Astyanax mexicanus: one gene and its partners. The protein of the gene in region 3 interacts with the protein of the main gene of each other region in a pairwise test. Links are inferred from orthologs where the notes say so. Each region holds a gene or a part of one and is shown on either strand. Other genes may lie near its edges. The genes, in order: gucd1, trafd1 and ngly1.

Region 1 (8,038 bases), on a different chromosome or scaffold from region 3:
TGCCCCCATTCACACCTCTAACTCTAACAAACCGCATAACATTGGAGAAGGAAAATGTACTCACTTTTGTTGCCAGTGGTTTAGACATTAATGGCTGTGTGTTGAGTTATTTTGAGGACACAGATAAATTACACTATTATACATGCTGGACACTGACTACTTTACATTGAATCAAACTATAATTTTTTCAGTGCTGTTCAATTGAAAGGTATCATACAATATTTACAGCAATGTAAGGAGTGCACTCACTTTTGTGAGGTACTGTTTCTCAAATCAAGTCACAGACTTTTACAGTAATAAAATCTTGGCATTACACAAACTGCTTTTATATTTTATAATTAACTGACAATATGGCAAAACTGAGGTTTTAGAAGTACATTTCATGAACAAAGTATTGGGACATTTTTTCTTCTGAGTTCAAGCATATTAAAAAAAATGTATCCTGCCATTTTTGAGTAACTGTCTTTACTGCCCAGAGAAGACGTTCAACTAAAATGTAAAGCATTGAGGATTTAATGGCACTAATAAAAAAAGCATATGCAAGGTCAGGATGTTGGATCACCACCCTACCTCATTCCCAACTCGTAAAATTACTGGACAGAGAACCTTCATTTCAGAGAACACAGTTGCACTGTTCCACAGGGCCTGGTATTAGGCATGGTGCAAACAGGCTAATGTTTACTGATCTGCTCCAGAGAGTCATATTCTCTTGGCTGTACTTTTGTAAAAGGGCCAATGATTTAAATTGTAGCAAGAACCTGCTTCATTTTGATGTTGTATGTGCTCTACTATGAAATATGCCACACAAATCATATTTTTTTATATATGAAATCAGCTAAGGACCTTAAACCTTTTTTAAGTACAAGATCAGTTCTGGTTCTAGATAAATCTATCAAAATCCTCCAGGAAACTCCATACATTATATATAACTCCATATGTTATATATGTGTTAGAATGGCAAATGTATAAGGTATATACTTTTGCAAGCCACTGTAAATAAGCCTTTTTTATCCTTATAGAACCTTAGCTTCATATAATTTTTTTTTCGGTAGACAAAACTTTTCAGGCATTTCAACATATTATATATATATATATATATATATATATATATATATATATATATATATATATATATATATATATATATATATATGTTTATATGTATTTATATCTGCATCTGACAGAGTTTAAAGGATGGAAGCTTTTTGTGTAAACCAACCCATTATTCATGTGAGAAGAATGATTGGAACAGATAAGCTTAAAGTAAATTAAAGTGCATCTGGCCTTCTTATTCTTCAGGTTAATAGTGGTTTTCATCTGCTGGTGAAGCCACTGTACTTTTATTCATTAAAATATTTTCATGAAAATGCCTTTTCTTTATTACTTTTCAAATGGTTGCTATGGCCAATATTTGGTCAATGGCTCTGATCTTTACCATAGACAGCTCTCTGGTTTTCATACTGGTTACTTATATATATGATATAAATGCACAGTCTGCGAAGATAAAACCCAAATCTGTACAGACATTCAGCACTATTTATTGTTTGAAAAATGTATGTATCAGGAGACACCTTGGCAACAAAACACACTTGCCAATCTCATGTTTTTCATGTACTTTTGCTCACAACAAATATGGGTGGGTTCAGACAGAAGGTGCTATCCTCTGAGCTATGTATCTGATCCCAGACAAATGTTTTCAGTCTACAGCAAATATAAAAGAAATTAGCTCTCAATATCTTGGGAAATGATTGTATGTGCAATGCAACACAAAAGAGTGTTACGACATTTTAAAGTATGAGATCAGTTTGAGCCAGACTAACTATTTATAGTTGGAAGTATATTTATTTATATTAATATATTATTTAGTTTATATTACTTTCCACATTTCCTTACATTTTCCCGTTATTCTGAATCAGCAGCTCAGCCGGAGAAACATATGCCTCGAATGAAAACCAAAGTAATTGCGATGTGAGATTAAAAAAAAAAAAAAGAAAAAAAAAAAAAGAAAAAGTGATTCTGTACTTACTTTAAAACCATCCGAGAACATGCCAGTCCGCAATCCCAGTGATAGAGCTGTCGAATTATTGGTACGTTCAATAAAACGACATCATCTACAAAATAGTTCGCAGGTTAAGATAACAAGGACATCTGTCGTTGGACTTTAATGGCAAAATCAAGAAAATTAACTAGCTAGTTAGATTAACCAGGTAAATATCCATCTGCTAAGTGAATGTGAAGCAGATACCCTGAACATCTAATCACAATCTGAGGCATGGCAAAGTATCACTTAAACAAGACATTCAAAGAACCTATGTAGAAAGCTAGCTTAACGAAGGTTAGTAAAGCTACCCTAAAAACAAAACTTTTAGCATAGCTTACCTGTCATGATGTATTGAGCTAGTTAATGTTACTTTCCCATTAACATTTATCCAGCGCAGTTCTTCATTCTACGGTTTAACGTATGTTTTAATAAGCAGATCCCCGGCTTCACCCGCACAAACAGCCCTAGCTCAGCTCGCTGGGTTAGAGCCAGTACACTACTTATTACCCTGGTTAACTACTATTAACTTTAAAGTCTACCTTTAGTTCAGCGCGCTGTTCTGTCCTTCTGAAAGCGTTATGAGAGTAGAGCCGAATAGCACTAATAACCAGTAACACTAGTATTACCCAGCAGTAATAACGAGTAACACTAGTATTACCCAGCCCTAATAAACAGTAAAACTAATATTGCCCTGCACTTATGGCCAGTAACACTAATATTACCTTGATTTTATAACCATTAATATCTAATATTACTTTGTGTGCTACTGTTTTTAACCGATGCACAATCCTATATGCCCGTCCTGGTTCCCCATCGCAAGGCCCCTCGGGCTGCTTTGGTGACGCCTGTTCAAAAAACACTAGTACTACTTGCCAAGCCGGTCCATAAGTCTAGCCTCTCGCTGCATTCAAGAGTGGTTGGCGTCCAACTCCGGCCACATTATTGGTTGGAGCGTAAATCCAAAATCGCCGCCATATTGGTTGGGTCTCCACTCAATTCTAGCACCAGAGCACACGCAACAGAGTATATATTATACATATATCAGTTAGATATATTTATAACATGTTTCCTATTAATGTTCCAGTGAGCGTCCTGTATCATAACTACATATCTGCCGTTTGTAACAAACCAAACAAAGTTGTGATTATTATAGTTGTATTATACACCTTCCTCAGTACAAATAAATTCACTTAGGGTACACGGGAGACCCATCTAAAATGGCGGCCGTGCTGAAAAATCAGCTCCAATAGGCGGTGTCTGTCTATATCTATGTCTCAATTCAGGGGCTGCATTCTTCGAAGGACGCAGTCTACGAAGGTGTGTCCTTCGATGTGTAGGCTGCGATGGCAGTACTGAAATGGGACAGTCCAGAGCCGTAGAAAGCCGTAAAAATATCTCTATAGTATTTCCTGTTTCCTGTTTGAGATTCTACCCGCCACAACCAAAGTAAGAGCTGAGAAATGAGCCAGTTACTTAAATATTTTAAATGTGAACGGGTGGAACTGAACATAAACAAATAAAAGGGCGTTTGAAATGAAGTTGGAAAAAAGAGCATAAATTAGAATAAAGTATTATGTTATATTATTTATTATATATATTATATATTATATAGTATTATGTATTTTTATATATATATATAAATATATATAAATACTATATATATTATTTAGTTTATGTAAATAAATATATAAGTATTTATATATCTATAACTATTAACATATAACAACATAAACATGATACTACATATATAAACTAAATAATACTATATATATATATATATATATATATATATATATATATATATATATATATATAAACTAAATAATATAAATGATATAATATATAAATAATATTTATAATATCTATAAGTATTTATATATCTATAAACTACATAATACTACATATCCTACATAATACAGCCGACTCAGTTGAATCCGCCCTTTTCGTGCTGAAATAACCCACTAAACATTAGACGTCTTATGGACGTGCAGATCATGTCTATATTGCGTCGGTCGGTCCAAGACCAATTCTGTACGTCTACAAGACGTGCAAACTAGGTCCGCTATTTGGACGTCTAACTATGACCCCACTTGGACGTCAATATGCAGTTAAACATTTGAACGTCGGACTAGGTCACTTTTTTGGACGTCATGGGGACGTCTAATACAGGTGCAGGAAATTAACATTATTTAAGAATATATTTATTTTTAAATGTATGTCAAAATTGTTGTTATCAATATTGTTAATCACTATGAATATAGATTATTTATGATTAAGCATCATTTATTTCTAATTATTTATTTGAGTATTATATTTTTTATCTATTTAATTAATTAACGAATGTAGGTATTTATTTACGTATGTTTTTATTTTTATTTGGAAATGCAATTTATGTGGAAAATTGTTAAGTTGATTTCAACCAGTCAACGCCACTCTGATTTGCTGAGACCGCACGTCATCATAAACTCCACTCTGATATGCCGAGGCAAAACACGCTAAACATTTTTTACCGCGGTCACGCCATCTGCACTTAGAAAACGCTCGGTCGCGCTATCTACACCGAAAACTGAAGTGCGCGTCTAAACCGTGTTTTACTGTAGCAGCGTGCACAGCGCACCCGGAGGAGCGGAGACTGGCGCTTCTCGTGCAGAGACTTAAAATGGAACAGAAACTAGTTTTACACCTAAATAAAAATGATTTAACGAGATCTAATCCACAAATATACACCAGAAAGACCACTTCTTATCTGTAGAACAGTGTAACGTTTTGAAAAGGTTTGGAGTGTTATTAAATAAGTAATTGTTATAAAATCACATCCCTAAATTCTTAAAGATCTTATTCTCATGTATCCCAGATATATGTTTGAAGTGATATTACTGTATCATTTTTGAGTAATTGAATACCAAAACTATCTATTTCGGAGTGCTATAAATCTAAAAGAAAATCTAATTCTTCTTAAATCAGAACATGAAATCCTTAAAGAATACCTTCCATACTATTTATGTCATGCATGTATACTGATTGTACAGTATCATTTTGGAGTAAATGAATACCAAACTTAGGAAAAATGTATATTCGGTTTTGCATAAACCAGATTTCGGTGTCCTATAAAACCTTCAAATCAAATTGTTATCCAATGAAACCAAGAAAGTCTTGAAGAAAACATTCCATTCTATTAATGACATGAGTAACAAGTGATATTACTGTATCATTCTGGAGTAATTGAATACCAAACATAGGAAAAATGTCTATTCGGTTGTGCATAAACCACATTTCAGAGTCCTATAAAACCAGCAAATCAAATTGTTATCCAATGGCACTAACAAAGGCTTGGAAAACACATTCTATACTATTAATATATACATATATATCAAGTGATTTTACTCTACCATTTTGGAGTAATTAAATATCAAACATACAAAAAGTGTTAATTCACTTTTGCATAAATCAGATTTCAGAGTCCTATAAAACAAGCAAATCAAATTGTTATCCAATGCCACTAAGACATTCTTGAAGAACACATTCCATACTATTAATGACATGAGTAACAAATGATATTACTGTATCATTTTGGAGTAATTGAATACGAAGCTTAGGAAAAATGTCTATTTGGTTGCGCAAAAACCTGATTTTGGAGTCCTGTAAAACCAGCAAATTAAATTGTTATCAAATGCTACCGAGACTGTCTTGAAGAACACATTCCATTCTATTATTGACATGAGTAATAAGTGATATTACTGTATAATTTTGGATTAATTGGATACCAAACTTAGAAAAATGTCTATTCAGTTGTGTATAAACCAGATTTTAAGGTCGCATAAAACCAGCAAATCAAATTGTTATCCAATGCCACCAAGACAGTCTTGAAAAACACATTCCATACTATAAATGACATGAGTAACAAGTGATTTTACTGTACCATTTTGGAGTAATTAAATATCAAACATACGAAAAATGTTGATTCACTTTTGCATAAACCAGATTTCAGAGTCCTACAAACCATTAAAACAAATTGTTATCCAATGCCACTGATAAAGTCTTGAAAAGCACATTCTATACTATTATTGACATGAGTATCAAGTGATTTTACTGTATCATTTTGAAATAATTGGATACCAAACTTGGAAAAAATGTCTATTCGGTTGTGCATTAACCACATTTCAGAGTCCTATAAAACCAGCAAATCAAATCGTTATCCAATGGCACTAACAAAGTCTTGAAGAACACATTCTATACTATTATTGACATGAGTATCAAGTGATTTTACTGTATCATTTTGGAGTAATTGGATACCAAACTTAGGAAAAATTTCTGTTCGGTTGTGCATAAACCAGATTTTAAGGTCCCACAAAACCAGCAAATTAGATTGTTATCCAATGCCACCAAGACAGTCTTGAAGAACACATTGCAAACTATTAATGACATGAGTAACAAATGATATTACTGTATCATTCTGGAGTAATTGGATACCAAGCTTAGGAAAAATGTCTATTCAGTTGTGAAAAAACCTGATTTCAGAGTCCTATAAAACCAGCAAATCAAATTGTTATCCAATGGCACTAACAAAGGCTTGGAAAACACATTCTATACTATTAACAACATATATATCAAGTGATTTTACTGTACCATTTTGGAGTAATTAAATATCAAACATACAAAAAGTGTTAATTCACTTTTGCATAAATCAGATTTCAGAGTCCTATAAAACAAGCAAATCAAATTGTTATCCAATGCCACTAAGACATTCTAGAAGAACACATTCCATACTATTAATGACATGAGTAACAAATGATGTTACTGTATCATTTTGGAGTAATTGAATACGAAGCTTAGGAAAAATGTCTATTTGGTTGCGCAAAAACCTGATTTTGGAGTCCTGTAAAACCAGCAAATTAAATTGTTATCAAATGCTACCAAGACTGTCTTGAAGAACACATTCCATTCTATTATTGACATGAGTAATAAGTGATATTACTGTATAATTTCGGATTAATTGGATACCAAACATACGAAAAATGTTGATTCACTTTTGCATAAACCAGATTTCAGAGTCCTACAAACCATTAAAACAAATTGTTATCCAATGCCACTGATAAAGTCTTGAAAAGCACATTCTATACTATTATTGACATGAGTATCAAGTGATTTTACTGTATCATTTTGAAATAATTGGATACCAAACTTGGAAAAAATGTCTATTCGGTTGTGCATAAACCAGATTTTAAGGTCCCATAAAACCAGCAAATTAAATTGTTATCCAATGCCACCAAGACAGTCTTGAAGAACACATTGCAAACTATTAATGACATGAGTAACAAGTGATTTTACTGTACCATTTTGGAGTAATTAAATATCAAACATACGAAAAATGTTGATTCACTTTTGCATAAACCAGATTTCAGTCCTACAAACCATTAAAACAAATTGTTATCCAATGCCACTGATAAAGTCTTGAAAAGCACATTCTATACTATTACTGACATGAGTATCAAGTGATTTTACTGTATCATTTTGAAATAATTGGATACCAAACTTGGAAAAAATGTCTATTCGGTTGTGCATAAACCACATTTCAGAGTCCTACAAAACCAGCAAATCAAATCGTTATCCAATGGCACTAACAAAGTCTTGAAGAACACATTCTATACTATTATTGACATGAGTATCAAGTGATTTTACTGTATCATTTTGGAGTAATTGGATACCAAACTTAGGAAAAATTTCTGTTCGGTTGTGCATAAACCAGATTTTAAGGTCCCATAAAACCAGCAAATTAAATTGTTATCCAATGCCACCAAGACAGTCTTGAAGAACACATTGCAAACTATTAATGACATGAGTAACAAATGATATTACTGTATCATTCTGGAGTAATTGGATACCAAGCTTAGGAAAAATGTCTATTCAGTTGTGAAAAAACCTGATTTCAGAGTCCTATAAAACCAGCAAATTAAATTGTTATCCAATGCCACCAAGACAGTCTTGAAGAACACATTC
Region 2 (7,902 bases), on a different chromosome or scaffold from region 3:
TTCTCCTTTTTTTGTGTCAAGTAGAACACTTGTCTCAATGCTGATCACTGAATGATTAACTGTGCACAAAGAGTGGAATGTTATTATTACAACATGTCGGATTGTTGACCTCTGATGAAATTAGGTGATTTTTTTTTATAGCAATGTCAGTTTTCTGTCTACCGTGCTGCTCTAACAAGAACAGAACTGATTTGTCTGACTTGTAGGACTTGTTTTTAAAACAAAAAAAAGTATTGATGTTATATATATTATATAGATGCTTTGTTAGCAAAAACCTTTCATTTATGAAAATGAACGCTAAAAATATCTTTGTTTATGAGTGCAAAATATTGCACTGTCAGGTTTTTATTTGTCTAATATCGTGCAGCCCTAGCTAGAACAATTGAGTTGTCTCAATACTTATCACAGAAACAGGGCTGCACAAAATATTGTTTTAGCACAATCATCATGATGTGCATGTCATGCTACAACTTTCTCTATATAAAAAGGGAAAATTTGCATTTTCTCTGACATATCACCCGTATTTACATTTACAATTCTTGGTGTAATATCAATTGTCCTAGCTAAGGCTGCACAATCTTGGGGGAAAAAACTGACACTGCCATATTTTACACTTTTAACAGAAAAATAGAGAAAAAGACCTGTATAACATCAAATATGATGAAGAAAGACCTGTGTTATTAGCTGAGAATGGGCAAAATATACATCTGACAGTTTTAAAATATATATGCATTGCATTGTCAGTTTTTTTTACCCAATATTGTGCAGCCCTAGCAAGAACCAGTATTTAAGAATGATGAAGGTAGACACAGTAGATACACATTGTGATGATGACAATGCTAAAACAATATATTTTTCAGCCCTAGTTCTGGCACAATACTGAGAGAACAAACTGAAATTTTGCAACATTTAGCAATATAAAAAATAGAGAGATAAAGATATTTTAACTGTCAAATTCATATTGTGCTAACCAAAACAACTGTTTAACATGATGAGTAATGAAGAATGACCTGTGGTGGGTATAGCGACAAATCAATTGTTCTACCGATATTTAACACTCATAAAAACAGATATTTTAGCTAGGGCTGCACAATGTTAGGGTTAGTTTGCACAGTTTTTAATGTCATTTTTTTAACTAGCCCTAACACACTGTGATGATAACGATGCTAAAGCGATTGTGCAGCCCTTGTTCTGTGATGAGGATTGTTTTGGTTGGGGCTGCATAACCAGTATTAGACCAAAAACTGCAAAAACTGACATTGCTATTTTTTTATATTGTTTTTTTTTTTTGCATTAATAAAATTTTTAAAATATGAAGCAATGAAAAAAGATATATAATTTTCAGGAACTGAAAGGAACTGATAGGATGTATATTGTGCAGCCCTTGTTCTGTGGTGAGGATTGTTTTGGTTGGGGCTGCACAAAGAGTATTAAATCAAAAACTGCAAAAACTGACATTGCAACATTTTTATATATTTTGCATTAAAACAAAATGTTAATAAAATTAACAAACATTAATAAAAGTGATAAATTTTAAGGAACTGTAAGATTGATAGGATGCAAAATGGACAAAAACAACAGTAGTAAAACATCAATAATGATGAAAAAAAGGATGTGTGGTAAGTATTAAGACACAATATGAATCTGACACAATTTCTGTGTTTTTAATGATTGCAACACAATATTCCTAACACAATTATAATGATGATGACAATGATAAAGTGATATATATACTGTGCAGTCCTAGTTCTGTGGATTGTTTTGGTTGGGGCTGCACAAAAAAAACTGACATTGCAAAATCCTGTTATTTTTTTTTTTTTTTGCATTAATAAAAAAAAAGGTAAAAAAAAAATAGTAAAAATATGAAGCACTAAATAATTTTCAGGAACTGTCAGATGCAAAATGGACAAAAACAACAGTAGTAAAACATCAATAATGATGCAAAAACTGACATTGCAATTTATTTATTTATTTATTTATTTTTGCATTTTTTGGAATTAATAAAACAAAAAAATGTTAATACAAATAAAAAACATTAACAAAAGTGATTAATTTTAAGGAACTGTCAGATTGATAGGATGCAAAATGGACAAAAACAACAGTAGTAGAACATCAATGATAATGATAATGATGAAGAAAGATGTGTGGTAGGTGTTGAGAAACAATACAAATCTGTCAGTGTATACTTTCTGTGTTTTTATGAGGGTTAAATATCGCTAGAACAATTGATTTGTCTCAATACCTACTACCACAGATCTAATCTGGCTGGCAACAGAGCACAATATAGCTCAGCCAGCTGGCCAGCTACACCCCAACACACTCTATTGTTTGTCTTGTAGCTGACAGACAGCAGTTCCAGTGCTAATATCAGCACAGAAACTAGTTTGTGAGGAGAATGAGAGGGAAATTTCATTATTAAAGGTTATTATATTTATTCTAGTCTTCTTTTGTTGTTGTGTTTAATGTGAGGCAGGGCCAGGCTGTGTGTATCCAGGCTTGATAGATAAGCTAAGCTAGATAACTAAGCTATAACGCTATTAGCCAGCGCTAACCCAGGCTATAGTTATAGTAAATCCCACACACTGGCTGGAGCTTACCTCACGGTCTTGTTAAAACAATAGGAACAGAAGCGGTGTCCGCACTGCGCCTGAAACGGCCTCCTGAGGATCTTCTGGCAGATGTTGCACAAATGCTTGTCCTCAAGCTTGTTGGCGAGGATTTTCCTCGGGAAGCCAGGTTTGTTTCCTTCTAGTGAAGATGGTGGGGACGGTTCCTGTGCAGCCATTATTCCCAAACGAGCATGTGACCTGGCTATGGAGAGAAACGAAAGCAGAAAATCAGCTCGTTTTTCAGCCTAAAACCATTAAACCAAAGCTTTCCCAGCACGACCAAACCATTAGCCATCTTACAAGCCTGCTGGAGAGCTCGCTGGTTCGTGCTGTCATGCTTGGGACGAGGCTAAAGCTGAAGAAGTTGAAGCTGAAGCTGCTTTGCTCGCCAGCTTGTTAGTTCTATGGATTTTGGTCCGGTCCACCTTAAACGCTGCCATTAGCTCTAACGGGGGCCACCGTTACTGGCGACGCTTTGTTCACGGCGAGATTTAAGGTGGACCGGAGAATTTGAAAATAACAAGCCTCCAGCTTCAGTTTCGTCATGGTTGGTTAAATACATTCAGTAGACAACAAAATACGTTTAATAAATGTTTTCTACACTGTGTTTGTGTCACGTAGCTAACCCTGGTTCAAAAAGAAAAAAAGTAAGAATCCATCCCAGGTTTTTTATTGTTTAAACTGCCCGAGCGACTCTGCTAATATGCTTTAGGTAGAGGTGAGTAATAATCCAGGTCCATAAATTAAAAATCCATACCAGCATTGCATTTCAACTACATCGGCGGCTATGTTACTGTGTTTTAACCCGGGTCCGGAAAGTAAAATTCCATCCCAGGATTTTTGTTCAAACGTTGTAGCTATGAGAGGTGTGTAATCCAGGTCCAGGTTTATGTTTTATAGTCATATGGTATTTATATATATTTTACACACAGCAGTTGGGTAAAAAGGCTGCGCATAGTAGGGTTACAGCGTAGTACTATTTTTTTAATATAGTAGTTTTTATTTTTAATAAATATACTCCCTTCATAATTGATACATACACAAACATTAAAGTCAAAATAAAATGACTTCCATGAGATTTTCAGTGATTTTTATATTTTACACTTTTTCCTCAACTGAAATACAAGGATGTTAATTTATGTTTTCACCGTGTATAATATATAAGCTTCTTGTAAGGTTGAAAAAGACTGCTTACTATTCGTAAAAAGGGTAATAATATTCCGAAATTAATTTAAAAAAGGAAACAATATTGTTTACTCTTGAGTTTTTAGCCTGCATTTTTATTCTGCATTTTAGTCAGCAAAATGGCTAAGCTTTTAAGTGGCTGTTAATTATTATTATTTTTTTTTTAATCAATATAAAAAATGAATTTGGGTTACGGTTTCTGGTTGCATCTACTGCTCAGCTGTATGACAAGTAATCCCCTTGAACCATTTCTCATTTGTTCATTGCTCATTAAATAGCCAAAACAACCGTCATATGTTTTTTGTGTTTGTTAAAAAAATGAAGAAAAAAAGTATTTTACGAGGTTGACTATATTGATCCTTTGCCTGTCCTTTTATTTTCATTATTTTCTTTTAATATTCTTCGTATTTATTTATTCATTTACTATTTTTACAGTTTGTCAGCTGATCAGTTTATCATAATTACTGTAAAGATTATTGTTTTTCTAAAAAACAGTTCATATTCCTGAATAAAATAAAAAAAATAAAAGTCTTTGTCTTCATATAACATTTTGTACCATATCATTCAGCTCTATCAGTGCTTAATTACATACATAATTAAAAACACACTTCAGATTTTATTTTCCTTTTCATATTTGTATGTATTTATTGATTTACATATTTTTATTTGCACAAATGTTTTTTATTTGTTCTTATCGACTGGTCAATATTATTTAGATATCTATGGTTGTGAAACAGTTTGTCGGCTGCTCAGTTTATTATAGTTACTGTAATGATAATTGTTTTTCTAAAACTTTTTCATATTCCTGAATATAATAAATGAATAAATAAAAAGTTGTAATTTTAATTAACATTTTTACCATATCACTCAGCTCTATCAGTGCTTATTTACATATGTAATTAAATACATACTTTTAATATTGGTATGTATTTATTCTTTTTTTATTGTGTATGTGGTGTTTATTTGATCTTATACTGTATCTGTAGTTGTAAAACAGTGCTCAGTAGCTCAGTGTATCATAGTATATATATAATAAAAACTGCTTTAATTTATGCACCAGCAGTGTGTAAGACTGGTGGAGGAGAACATGCCAAGATGCATTAAAACTGTAATAAAAAAAACATGGTTATTTCTGAACTCTTAAAACTTTATAATTAAAAAATTGTTTTCTTTGCATTATTTAAAGTCTGAAATCTAAATCTTTTTTATTTCAGCCATTGTTCCATTGTTCAGCCATGTTCATTTACTCAAACATAAACCTATAAATAGCAAAATCAGGGAAACTGAAGTGGTCTCTATTTTTTTTTCTAGCTGAGAGCCTGATATAAAGTGGGACTTTTATTTTGAAATTAGCGAGGGAAGAGGCGGAAGAAGAGTGTGGGCTTCCTCCTCCGACACTGTTTCTAGTTTCTCGTTACCGAAAGCAAAACTCTGAACTGTGGGCTGTTTTTATAATGAATCAGTAATTTAATAAGAGCAGCGCGGCGGATTAACGCTGAGCGCGGTGTGTACTGAGGTCTGGCTGTACTGCCGCCGGTCAGACAGCTTTGTTTTAAGGTATTATCCGCTGTGTTTATCGGTGTTCAGTCATGATCGGCGTTAACGGGAGATAAATCTGCTTAACGCCCCGAAACTGCAGAGCTGAACTCTGATATATAACTAACTAAATAATCAATAAATCTGAAGCCTGAAGACGCTTTCTCCTTCAGATTAACACTGCCCGGACCCGCCGCTTCTCCTCTCCTCAGCGCTGAATAAGAAAAGGTAAGATACTGATACTGTTAATTATGGATGGAAACATTAGCCCGCCTGTCTCTGTCTTAGATAATTACTCTCATCTAACTGAGAGAGAGAGAGAAAGAGCTGCAGCTCAGGAAACACAACACCACACACACAACACATAAACACATACTACAAGAAAAACACACAACACTAACACATCACACATAGAAACTCAACACCACACACAGTACCACACACACTACACACAACACCACACATATTACATAAATAAAATGAATAAAAAAATGTTTTTTGTTATTTTTGTACTATTTTTTTTTATTATTTTCTGTGTTTTTTGTCTCTCTCTTATCCAGTGGTCAATTATTTAGGTACCTGTAGTTGTGAAACACACACACACACACACACACGACCACAAAACACTACATAAACACACACTATACATACATATACACACACGCACACAACACCACACCACACACAGCACCACACAAAGACACACAACACCACAAACACTGCAGCACACTCACACTAGGGGTGGGCGATATGGTCCTAAAATAATATCACGATATTTCATGGTATTTTTGCGATAATGAAACTCTTGACGATATGACATAACACTGATTTTTTTTCCCCAAGAATACACTACTGCACAATACTAATAATGCACTCCATGTATCTCCAAGACTACACATACACCACACACACTACATAAACACACACAGCACCATACAAATACAAAACACTATACATACACAACTGCAGTGTAATGTTAACATAATAGCTAGGATCATGCAGAGCCTGTAAATGTTTCCACACAGTTTCATTGCTACATTTTTTTGTCTCTAACCATCTTAGCTAAGTTTCACAATGCATTCCTTTTGCTAATTTAATTAACCATTATCTCATTATCTCTGTTTAGTAAGTCGTTCCCTCAGTGTAATGCATTATTTCAGTCTAATCAATTATTGTCTCAACTTGGTAAATTATTGCTTCATTGTAAATATACCGGTAAGTAATTCTTCTAGTTTTACTAATTCATCCCATTAATTTAATAAAGTGTCCCGTCAGTTTAATAAGTAACGTAATTTATTTAATAAATCATTGTTTTATTTGCAATGTTGTAAACTTTAATAAATAATTATCTTAATTTGATTGAGCTATTTTCTATTTTTGTTTTTTATCTTAAATTTGTATGTCTCTTAATATAATAATAATTCCCTTGTTTAATAAGTATGTCCTTCAGTTTGATGTAATTATTTTTGTTTAGGCTTTTCCTCAATTTGATAAGTCAGGTTGATAAGACAGTCAAAGTCAAGTCAAAGTGGTTTTTATTGTCATTTCAGCTATATACAGAGTACACAGTGAAACGAAACAACGTTCCTCCAAGGACCATGGTGCACATAAACACAGTGTAGACAGAACAATAGTGCAACAGTACAAAAGTGCAGACAGACAATACAACACAATACAAAAGACAGGTCTTTTCTGTAAGATAAAATAAATTGTCTTTACATTTTAGAAGGTTTGCTTTAGTTAAATTGTGGGAACAATGTTTTTAATTGAGCCAATTATTAATCAATGGAGTGTTTAAAATCTTGATACTCTAAAGACTCCTTTTGTTTTACAATGTAAATATTAATGGTAATTGTTTTTACTCACCAGAGAATGTGTAATACCTCTGAGACATGTCTTCTTTGGTCTCTTTGTTTGCACAGGTTATGTCTGAGGAAAGCACCCAGCTCTGCACCAACTGGTTAGTTTCATTTTCCTTTCTTTTGCTTCCACCCTTTGTTTTTCATTGGCTCTCCTTATGGAGAACAAACAGTTTTCAGGGAACAGACTGTATGAATCACTAAGTGCTTTAATAAAGGAAGGTTGTCTCAGGCATGTTCCAGTACTTACATTAAAGTGCTTACACAGTCCTTTCGTTATTCAGTTTTTAGGAATGCACTGATTTTTTAAAAATGATCTTTAAACCCATTGTTTTTTCTTTCCTGGTTCTCATTCTTTCCTCTCATTCAATTCCACAGCAAGCATGACATCCCAGAGGCCAACTTCACCACTCACGAGATCCACTGCCGACGGAACATCGCCCTGTGTGACGTGTGCCAAGAGCCGGTTCCCCGTGCTGAGCTGATGCAGCATAAAGAGCAGGAGCACTCACAGGTAATTCTAAAAAATAGGCCAGGCCCCATTTTACCCCTTGATACTAGCACTTAGCCTCTGTTTTGCATGTGCATGCCTAGGGGTAGGGTGAGGCAGTGAGTGAGTCAATGAGTCATAAGCCCTATCCGGATGGGATTAGTTTCTCAGAGGGTTCTGGGGTAATTTTCTCTTTTATGGGGGGTCCTCTGTGATTTTATTC
Region 3 (7,239 bases):
ATAACGTTATACACACACATCTTTCGTGATCTAATACTTTTCAAATAAACAAAGAATTTCACTGATTAACGTTACTTCATTCATAAAAAAAAGAAGTTTTTTTTTGCATAATTCAGTCAATGAGGTATAACCAGTGGTGGAAACACAGGGGTTTATATAGCAAATATAAAAATGATATATATGTGTTACCTCAGAAAATTAATAATTATTTTAATAAAATGTGGAATGACTGAAGGACTGAACAGAATAACGTTAATTATAGCTAGTTTATCTCCCACAGCAGCTCCTAAACACTGTTAAATCCGCCCACAGGGCGAGATTAGACCCTTTTTCTACAGATTTAGAGTTTTTATATATTTAAACTTCACTTACATACAGATCTGCGAGTTTCCCCCGGTCTGAATCAAACTGCTGGTAATAATGCTGCACGAAGCCCGTGCCGATCTGCTCCCACATGGGCTTCTCCGCCATCAGGAGAACCGAGCTGCGGAAATATTCAGATTAAACCCTGAAAATAATCATATATTTACACTCAGTGTGGGAAATATGTTGGTTCCCCAACTGATAAAACATAAACCAGCGAGGTAAACTGAAATAAAACGAGATAAACAGCTTTAACTCACCAAAATACTCTTACACAGAGAAAACAGCACGAGCAGCGCCGAGTTTCCCGCCGATAGTACAGGGAAAAAAGCTCGTTTTAGCGCGTTCACAAAACACCTGATTCTCCTCACACACTGATTACCTGAAATACAGTATCGGGATCAGCGAAAACTCACAGTATTCTGCAGAAAATTCATTTTAATATTCGCAAATTAAATAATCTTCTAATAATGTGTGAAATTAAATAATTATCTATTTGTTAAGAATATATCTCGGCTGTTGAACACGTCAAAACCTGAATAGTGAACGCACCCCTGTGATTGAAATCGTGTTAAAACTTGAGTGATGAAGTCATTCATTCATATTTTTTTCCCAGGCTTTTCTTTCTTTTTAGTATCCCCCTTTCCGTATATATATATATATATATATTATGGAAAAAGAAAAATGGGAAAAGAAAGATGCCTGGGTACAGTTTTAAAGGTTACAAAAAACTATATATATTAAGTACTAAAATATGCGATTATTCTGTGTTGAGGAAGTTAGTACATTTTTCATTATGAAAATTATTAAACGTTTGAATGTTTGACTGCTCCATATGAATCCAATAATTTTGGTCTGAATCATGCGCGAAAATTCACTTAAATAGTAAAAAACTACTTACCCGGGGTTTTCTTTAATTTCAAAAAGTATAATAAAGTATTTTGTTTAAAAAAATACGCATAAAAAAATAAGTTTCGATCCAATCTATATTTATTTACTATAAAATAAATTATTAAACGATGGTTAAATAATAATAATTAAAACAAATATATATGTATTGCGTTTTAAAAAAGACTTTTATTTTGACGACATCGTAGTTCTGAAGCAGCCGCAGTATCTGAGTCAAGAGCCGGTTCTTGGAGAGACTGCCAATTTCCTATCTCTGCCGCTAGAGGGAGCCCGCGAGGGAGTGCTCAATGTATGGGGTTAAATGGAGCTAAAAGCTAAGAAAGCGAATTAAAAATAGTGACTAACTACTTGGTCATAAACTCTTTTACCATAGTAAATTATAATGGTTGTTTTTTTTTTTTCATAAAAAGCAAATAAAACTTACCTGTATATTTTAGTTTTTCTTAAGTAAACGGATTTTAGGCAGTAAAGACACTAGCATCACTGCTCCTGTGAGCTGATTGACTTGTTGGTGCAATGATGCTTGAGATACAGGAAAATCAGAGGCGGTCTTTGCATAAAGGCATTGCTATGCAACTGCCTTGGGCCCCTCCCACTGCAGCCCACTGTAGGGGCCCCCTGACTAGCAGCAAACTTCCCATAGGCCTACAGCTGGTAATTGGGGCCCTTTGGACAGTAATTCACAGATAGTGCGTTCGGAAATGGTGATTCTTGTATGTTTAAAATGGAAACAAAGACAACACAATAAATTACAAAGAAATACAGTTCAGTCCACACCCCCCTCTTTCACGTTAAAATGGAATATTCCATTCATGCCATGTGGCCATGCCGTGAACCTACAGGAGGAATTAAGGTGAAATTAAGTGTACAAGTGGGTTTTGAGCAAAGCCATGAAGCACCACTTGCTACAAAAAGAAAAAAAGAAGGAAGAGGCTAAACTAAAAACAGATGCTCTTCCAAAACTGATAAGCTTTTTTTATCAATAAAATACTAAAAATATTTAAAATGAATAAAAAGTAATTAATATAAAATAAAAATCATTTAAAACACAATCAAAAGCTATATAATAGTGCACAGAATAATATCAGTTTCAGTTAGTTTCAGTTTCAAATAATTGAAACAGCTCACCAAAACCTCTACCTATCCTTTATATTTGACAATATTTTATTACTTTACAGGTCCTCACTCATCTTAATTTTAGTTGTTATATTATTTTTAGCCTCGCGCTGAATTTAGCTCTGTGCTGCGGGAGGGAGGGAGGGAGGGAGGGGGAGAGAGAGCAGCAGCAGCTCAGCGCATTTTGCCTGATTTCTCTTGATTACATTTCAATAAACATGTGAATTTAATACCTTTTAATACCATATATTTTAATTTACTTGATAGGACCTTATTTATTAAAACGTTTTTTTTTTTTTTAAATCGCAATGCCGCGCGCTTTCCTTTTGACTGACGCGTGCGTTCCTTAGGCTATGACTGACGCTAAACTGTTTTGATTCAGTTGTTATATTATATTATATTATATTAATACCATTTTAAAGTTTTCGTTTCTATGTTTTGAAATTCGTTAGATTATATTTTTGTCAACATTTTGGGTTTATTTTTGTTTGTTATTTTTCTAATAATAATAGAATTTACATAATTTATTTTCAAAGTAACGTGCCCAACACTGGCTGACAATGAGCAAGTTTCCTGGCACAAACCAGCATGAATGACATGAAATGTTTAAAATTAATACAGACATGTAGAAAAACTAAGAGAAGACAAGCTGTAACCTAGATGTAAATAATAATAGAATAATAATAAATAATAATAAATAATAGAATAATATGCCAATTAGGCATATTTGTAGCAGTTGGGTATTTTTTCATCCCTGACTCTAATTCATTTAAGTTATATACCTGATTTGATCTTTTTCTGTACAATCCCTGCTAAAGTTTTAGGTGAAGGAGACCTAAAGAAGGTCAGTGCATGTTTCTGGAAAAAACAAAACAGTGGGCGTGGCATCGTGATGGTTACCATCCATCGCAATGTTGGGTCATAAATGAGGATGGACGATGATATCATCCATCGGCACAACCCTATTTCTTGCATATTAATGTTGATTGGCCCCCTAGCTAAATTCGCCTTGAGCCCCCAAATTGCTAAGTCCGCCACTGAGGCAAATATATGTACATTTGGTACTAAAATATGTGATTGTTGTTTATTGAGGAAATTATTAAATTTTTATTTTTTAATATTATCAAACATTTATCAAACATGACTCTTTTTTTTGCATAATTGCTCCATATGTCCCAATAATGTTATAGTAATACTGAGTAACTACTTATCCAGGATTTGTCTTTAATTTCGGAATGTATAATAAAGTATTTCGCTAAACAAAAACTAAGAAAACTTGTAAATACATCAGTCTTTCTATGATAAACTAGTTATTCTTGTTTTGTTTAGTAATAGTGTTGCATTACTGCAACTGTTCGCTAATACTGGTTAGTAAGCAGAGGCTTGGAGAAACAGCCAGGGCACTTTAAGATTAAAGGCTTATAATTGGACTTTAAAAGCTTTCGAAAATTATGTCTGCGGTGCTGAGACATGTGATCTTGTTCTGTGTTGAGAAAAGTGTTACATTTTTTCACAATTAAAATGATTAAACATTTAAAATATATTATTATTATTATTTTGCTCCATATAAGCAAAGTACTTTTGCTCTGACTCGAGAGCGCCCTCTGGCGGTAAAAATAGTGACTAACTACTTATTCAGGACTTTTCCTTAATTTTGGAAAATATAATTAATTATATTAATTAAACAAATATAAGAATTGATAAAACTTGTAGATTATATATTAATACCTTCATTTTCTATTTTCGAATTTAGTTTGATACGGTCAGAAAATTGCTAAACTGCTAAACGTTAGACTGATCACCTCGCTCGGTGAGCTGCTAGTCTCCTCTGTAGAGGATCTGTGGCTGAGTCAGTGTTTGGGCTGCTGTGAAGAGCGTAGCGTTATCGCACAGTTCGCTAACTCAGTTAACGTTACATAGAAATATGTCGATTTTTTTAACACAGTAAAATATAACAGTGGAGGTTTATTAGTTTGTCAATGTTGCCGGTTGAGTTTAGTATTTTTTTTCAGGGCATTTTTAGTACCGTTAGTTGAGTTATTAATCACGTTTCCGTGACTTTTATCTTATATCGTCAGGCTAAAGGAGTGTAAACAGTTTCTGTGTGAAAAATGTCTGGATTTCAGGGGATTTCTGCTCTGTGTGAAAATCCCAACGAGGTGTTTCTGGATGTGTCGAAATTACTGTTAACTTATGCGGACAATATTCTCAGGTAAAACCGATTAACCTTCATATTTAGCTAAAGCTAACTAAATAACGTTAGCTAGATTAGCTTAGCAGCTTTTCCTTTGGAGCTAAACTGTTTATTTTATCTAAAACTGTATTTCTAGTCGAACACACTGCCTTATTAAAGCTTATTAAACCTGAAAACCTGTGGGTGAAAAAGTCTTTGTAGTTCATGAAGTTCTAAACCTGAAATAAACGGAGATTTTTGCGAATAAAAAACTGTCTTATCATTCTAGCTAAATTATCTAGCTAATGCTGCATCATCCTTATGCTGTCCAAACTCTACACCACTTTAAACAGACTTTAAAAAGACTAGATTTTGATGTCTTCTCACAACTAAAGACAATCACAGACTTTTTACTCACAGAATAAGATTTTATAAAGACTGGAAATCTTGCAGAATCACTATTTGCAAGACTGGATCTGGATTCTTTCTGAGATTATTTCCCATCATGCTTCTGGTGGAGTTTACATAAAATAAATATCACATATTATATTATTGAATTTATAATCAAAGACCCCATTAACAGTTTTTTGCCATAATGTTTGTACTTAATATTTTTAATAGAATACATTTTGTGTTCAAAATAAAAGCTTTTTTTTACCCGCTTTTTTTGCTACAACCTTGTAAAACAAAGAATCAGTTTTACTGCTGTACATTTACTTTTGTTTTATATAGAATTAATGCAATAAAGAACATCAGTCTTGCCAAATTTTATTATATGTATTTATGAAACTGGTTTGTGTCAAAATCAACACTGCACAATAAGACATTATAAGTCATGCACAATGAAATACCTTTAAATACAATAACTTTAAAGTGCTACCTGTGTTTAAAATACTCTACATATTAAAGATAGAACCGTATAAGGCATATTAACTGCAAAATGTGTTCTTTCTTAAAATCGTTTGTAAACACAGTCACATAAAAATATTCTTGCCATGCAGTTTCCTATAGCTCTTCTTCTATTAGTTGTTCACATTGCTCACTTTTCGTCACTATTTGCATGAGCCGAGTCTCAAGACTTACGATGTTATTAAACACGGTTGATTTTATCTGAACGCAGGACGATAAAAATACTGACTTACGCTGACTGATTTATTGATTTCACTGTCGCAGACAGAATTATCAGCCTCCTTTTACCTTGTTCCTTTTGTCCAATGAAAAAATTGAATATTATTGGACCACCACTTACCTGGTATTTTTCTAGGCAGTGGACGAGTACAAACATTTTTTACACCCTACAACATGCATCAACTGTGTAATAATAAAGTTGGAAAGTAGTGTATACCACAGAGTGGTCCACTACATGTTTAATATCATGTTAGCTGTGCTTTCTTTTAATTGTTAATCCTCAGTAATTGTATATCTGTGGTAATAACAAAATGTGGATTAGCTAGCAGGTAGGGGTGGGAATCTTTTACTATCTCACGATTCGATTCGATTCCGATTTTGGGGGCCACGATTCGATTCAAAATCGATTTTTGATTCAAAACGATTTGATTTATAAAAATTTATTGAAAACTTATTGAAAAAAAAGCCTCCAAAATATACACTGGTCCTGGAGAAGGTAATGTGTTACAAAAACAATAAAATGTGCAGGAATGTGGGTCCTCAGTGACAGAGGAATCACTGGGATATCACAATGACGTTAATGAACAATAAATAAATAATAAATAACACTGCTTTATTATAAGGCTACTAGCGGTGGTGTGTAGGTGACGCTGCTGGGCTGATGTGATGATAGCAGTGGAGCGCTAAAGTTCAGGAGCAGCTGCTGATTAACTAGTTAATTTTAGGCCGTTGTATTTCTTCAGAAAGGGGGCAGGAGGTGGAGAAATTAATTCATATTGTCCATTCCTTAATTCCTCTGTGATGGGGAGCTGAAATTAGCTCTGATTAGCTTATTGTTATTTTTCCGTTCCGCCTTAAATGCTGCAGCCCGCTGCCACCTGTAGCGTTATTTAAGGTGGAACTGGAAAGTTAGCTAGTTAGCTAGCTAACAGAAACTGAAACTAACTACTAGCGATCTTTTTTATGCTTGTTATGAAGCATTCTGCCATAAAACATTAAAACTACACGTTAATCTAAGGTAATATAGTGCTTGTTCTGCCATCTTACCGGTGATTCTCATACACCTACGCTCTGTGTGGGTCTGACGGTAAGTTCAAACTGCAGCGGCCACGGTCGCTTTGGGCAGTGGGAGGCGGAGCGAAAAACGCTTCGTGCCGCTGCAGTGTGAACTTACCGTGAGGGGTAGGGCCAAGGGAAGAAATGGGATTGGACCTTAGAATCGATTTTGGGACATTTTAAATCGATTCTGAATCGTAGTAAATGAGAATCAAGATTCTTATGTGAATCGATTTTTTGGCACACCTCTACTAGCAGGACTGCATGGAAACTAATCATTAATCTGGAATTCACTAGGCATGCTGGTAGGAGTTGGTTTACGGTTTAGAATTGAATTCTGCATGACTGTTCTTAAGGTCCAGAATTTTCTATGTTTAATATTCAGTTCATAATTATGTGTTTATCTATCCTCAGGAATCCGAATGAGGAAAAATACAGATCAATCCGTTTAGGAAACCCAACCTTCTCCACCAAACTTCTCCCTATAAATGGAG

What was found.
Region 1: the proteins of ngly1 (region 3) and gucd1 interact in binary tests that used the Homo sapiens proteins (3 or more experiments, as listed by UniProt). The two-hybrid records come from large-scale screens. The link is inferred for Astyanax mexicanus from reciprocal best matches to the Homo sapiens genes NGLY1 and GUCD1.
Region 2: the proteins of ngly1 (region 3) and trafd1 interact in binary tests that used the Homo sapiens proteins (3 or more experiments, as listed by UniProt). The two-hybrid records come from large-scale screens. The link is inferred for Astyanax mexicanus from reciprocal best matches to the Homo sapiens genes NGLY1 and TRAFD1.

What each region holds. Positions count from the first base shown.
Region 1 is NC_064419.1:13,459,217-13,467,254, reverse strand, and holds the start of gucd1 (protein GUCD1), read right to left. Parts: upstream 3,040-8,038; 5' UTR 2,387-3,039; coding exon 2,380-2,386; intron 2,112-2,379; coding exon 2,027-2,111; intron 1-2,026.
Region 2 is NC_064429.1:29,422,581-29,430,482, reverse strand, and holds the start of trafd1 (TRAF-type zinc finger domain-containing protein 1), read left to right. Parts: upstream 1-4,863; 5' UTR 4,864-5,558; intron 5,559-7,252; 5' UTR 7,253-7,255; coding exon 7,256-7,290; intron 7,291-7,567; coding exon 7,568-7,703; intron 7,704-7,902. Other genes in the region: traf2a (TNF receptor-associated factor 2), read right to left, coding at 2,598-2,785. UniProt on the Homo sapiens protein: Negative feedback regulator that controls excessive innate immune responses. Regulates both Toll-like receptor 4 (TLR4) and DDX58/RIG1-like helicases (RLH) pathways.
Region 3 is NC_064410.1:736,509-743,747, reverse strand, and holds the start of ngly1 (peptide-N(4)-(N-acetyl-beta-glucosaminyl)asparagine amidase), read left to right. Parts: upstream 1-4,235; 5' UTR 4,236-4,499; coding exon 4,500-4,600; intron 4,601-7,159; coding exon 7,160-7,239. Other genes in the region: nutf2l (nuclear transport factor 2, like), read right to left, coding at 373-471. UniProt on the Homo sapiens protein: Specifically deglycosylates the denatured form of N-linked glycoproteins in the cytoplasm and assists their proteasome-mediated degradation. Cleaves the beta-aspartyl-glucosamine (GlcNAc) of the glycan and the amide side chain of Asn, converting Asn to Asp.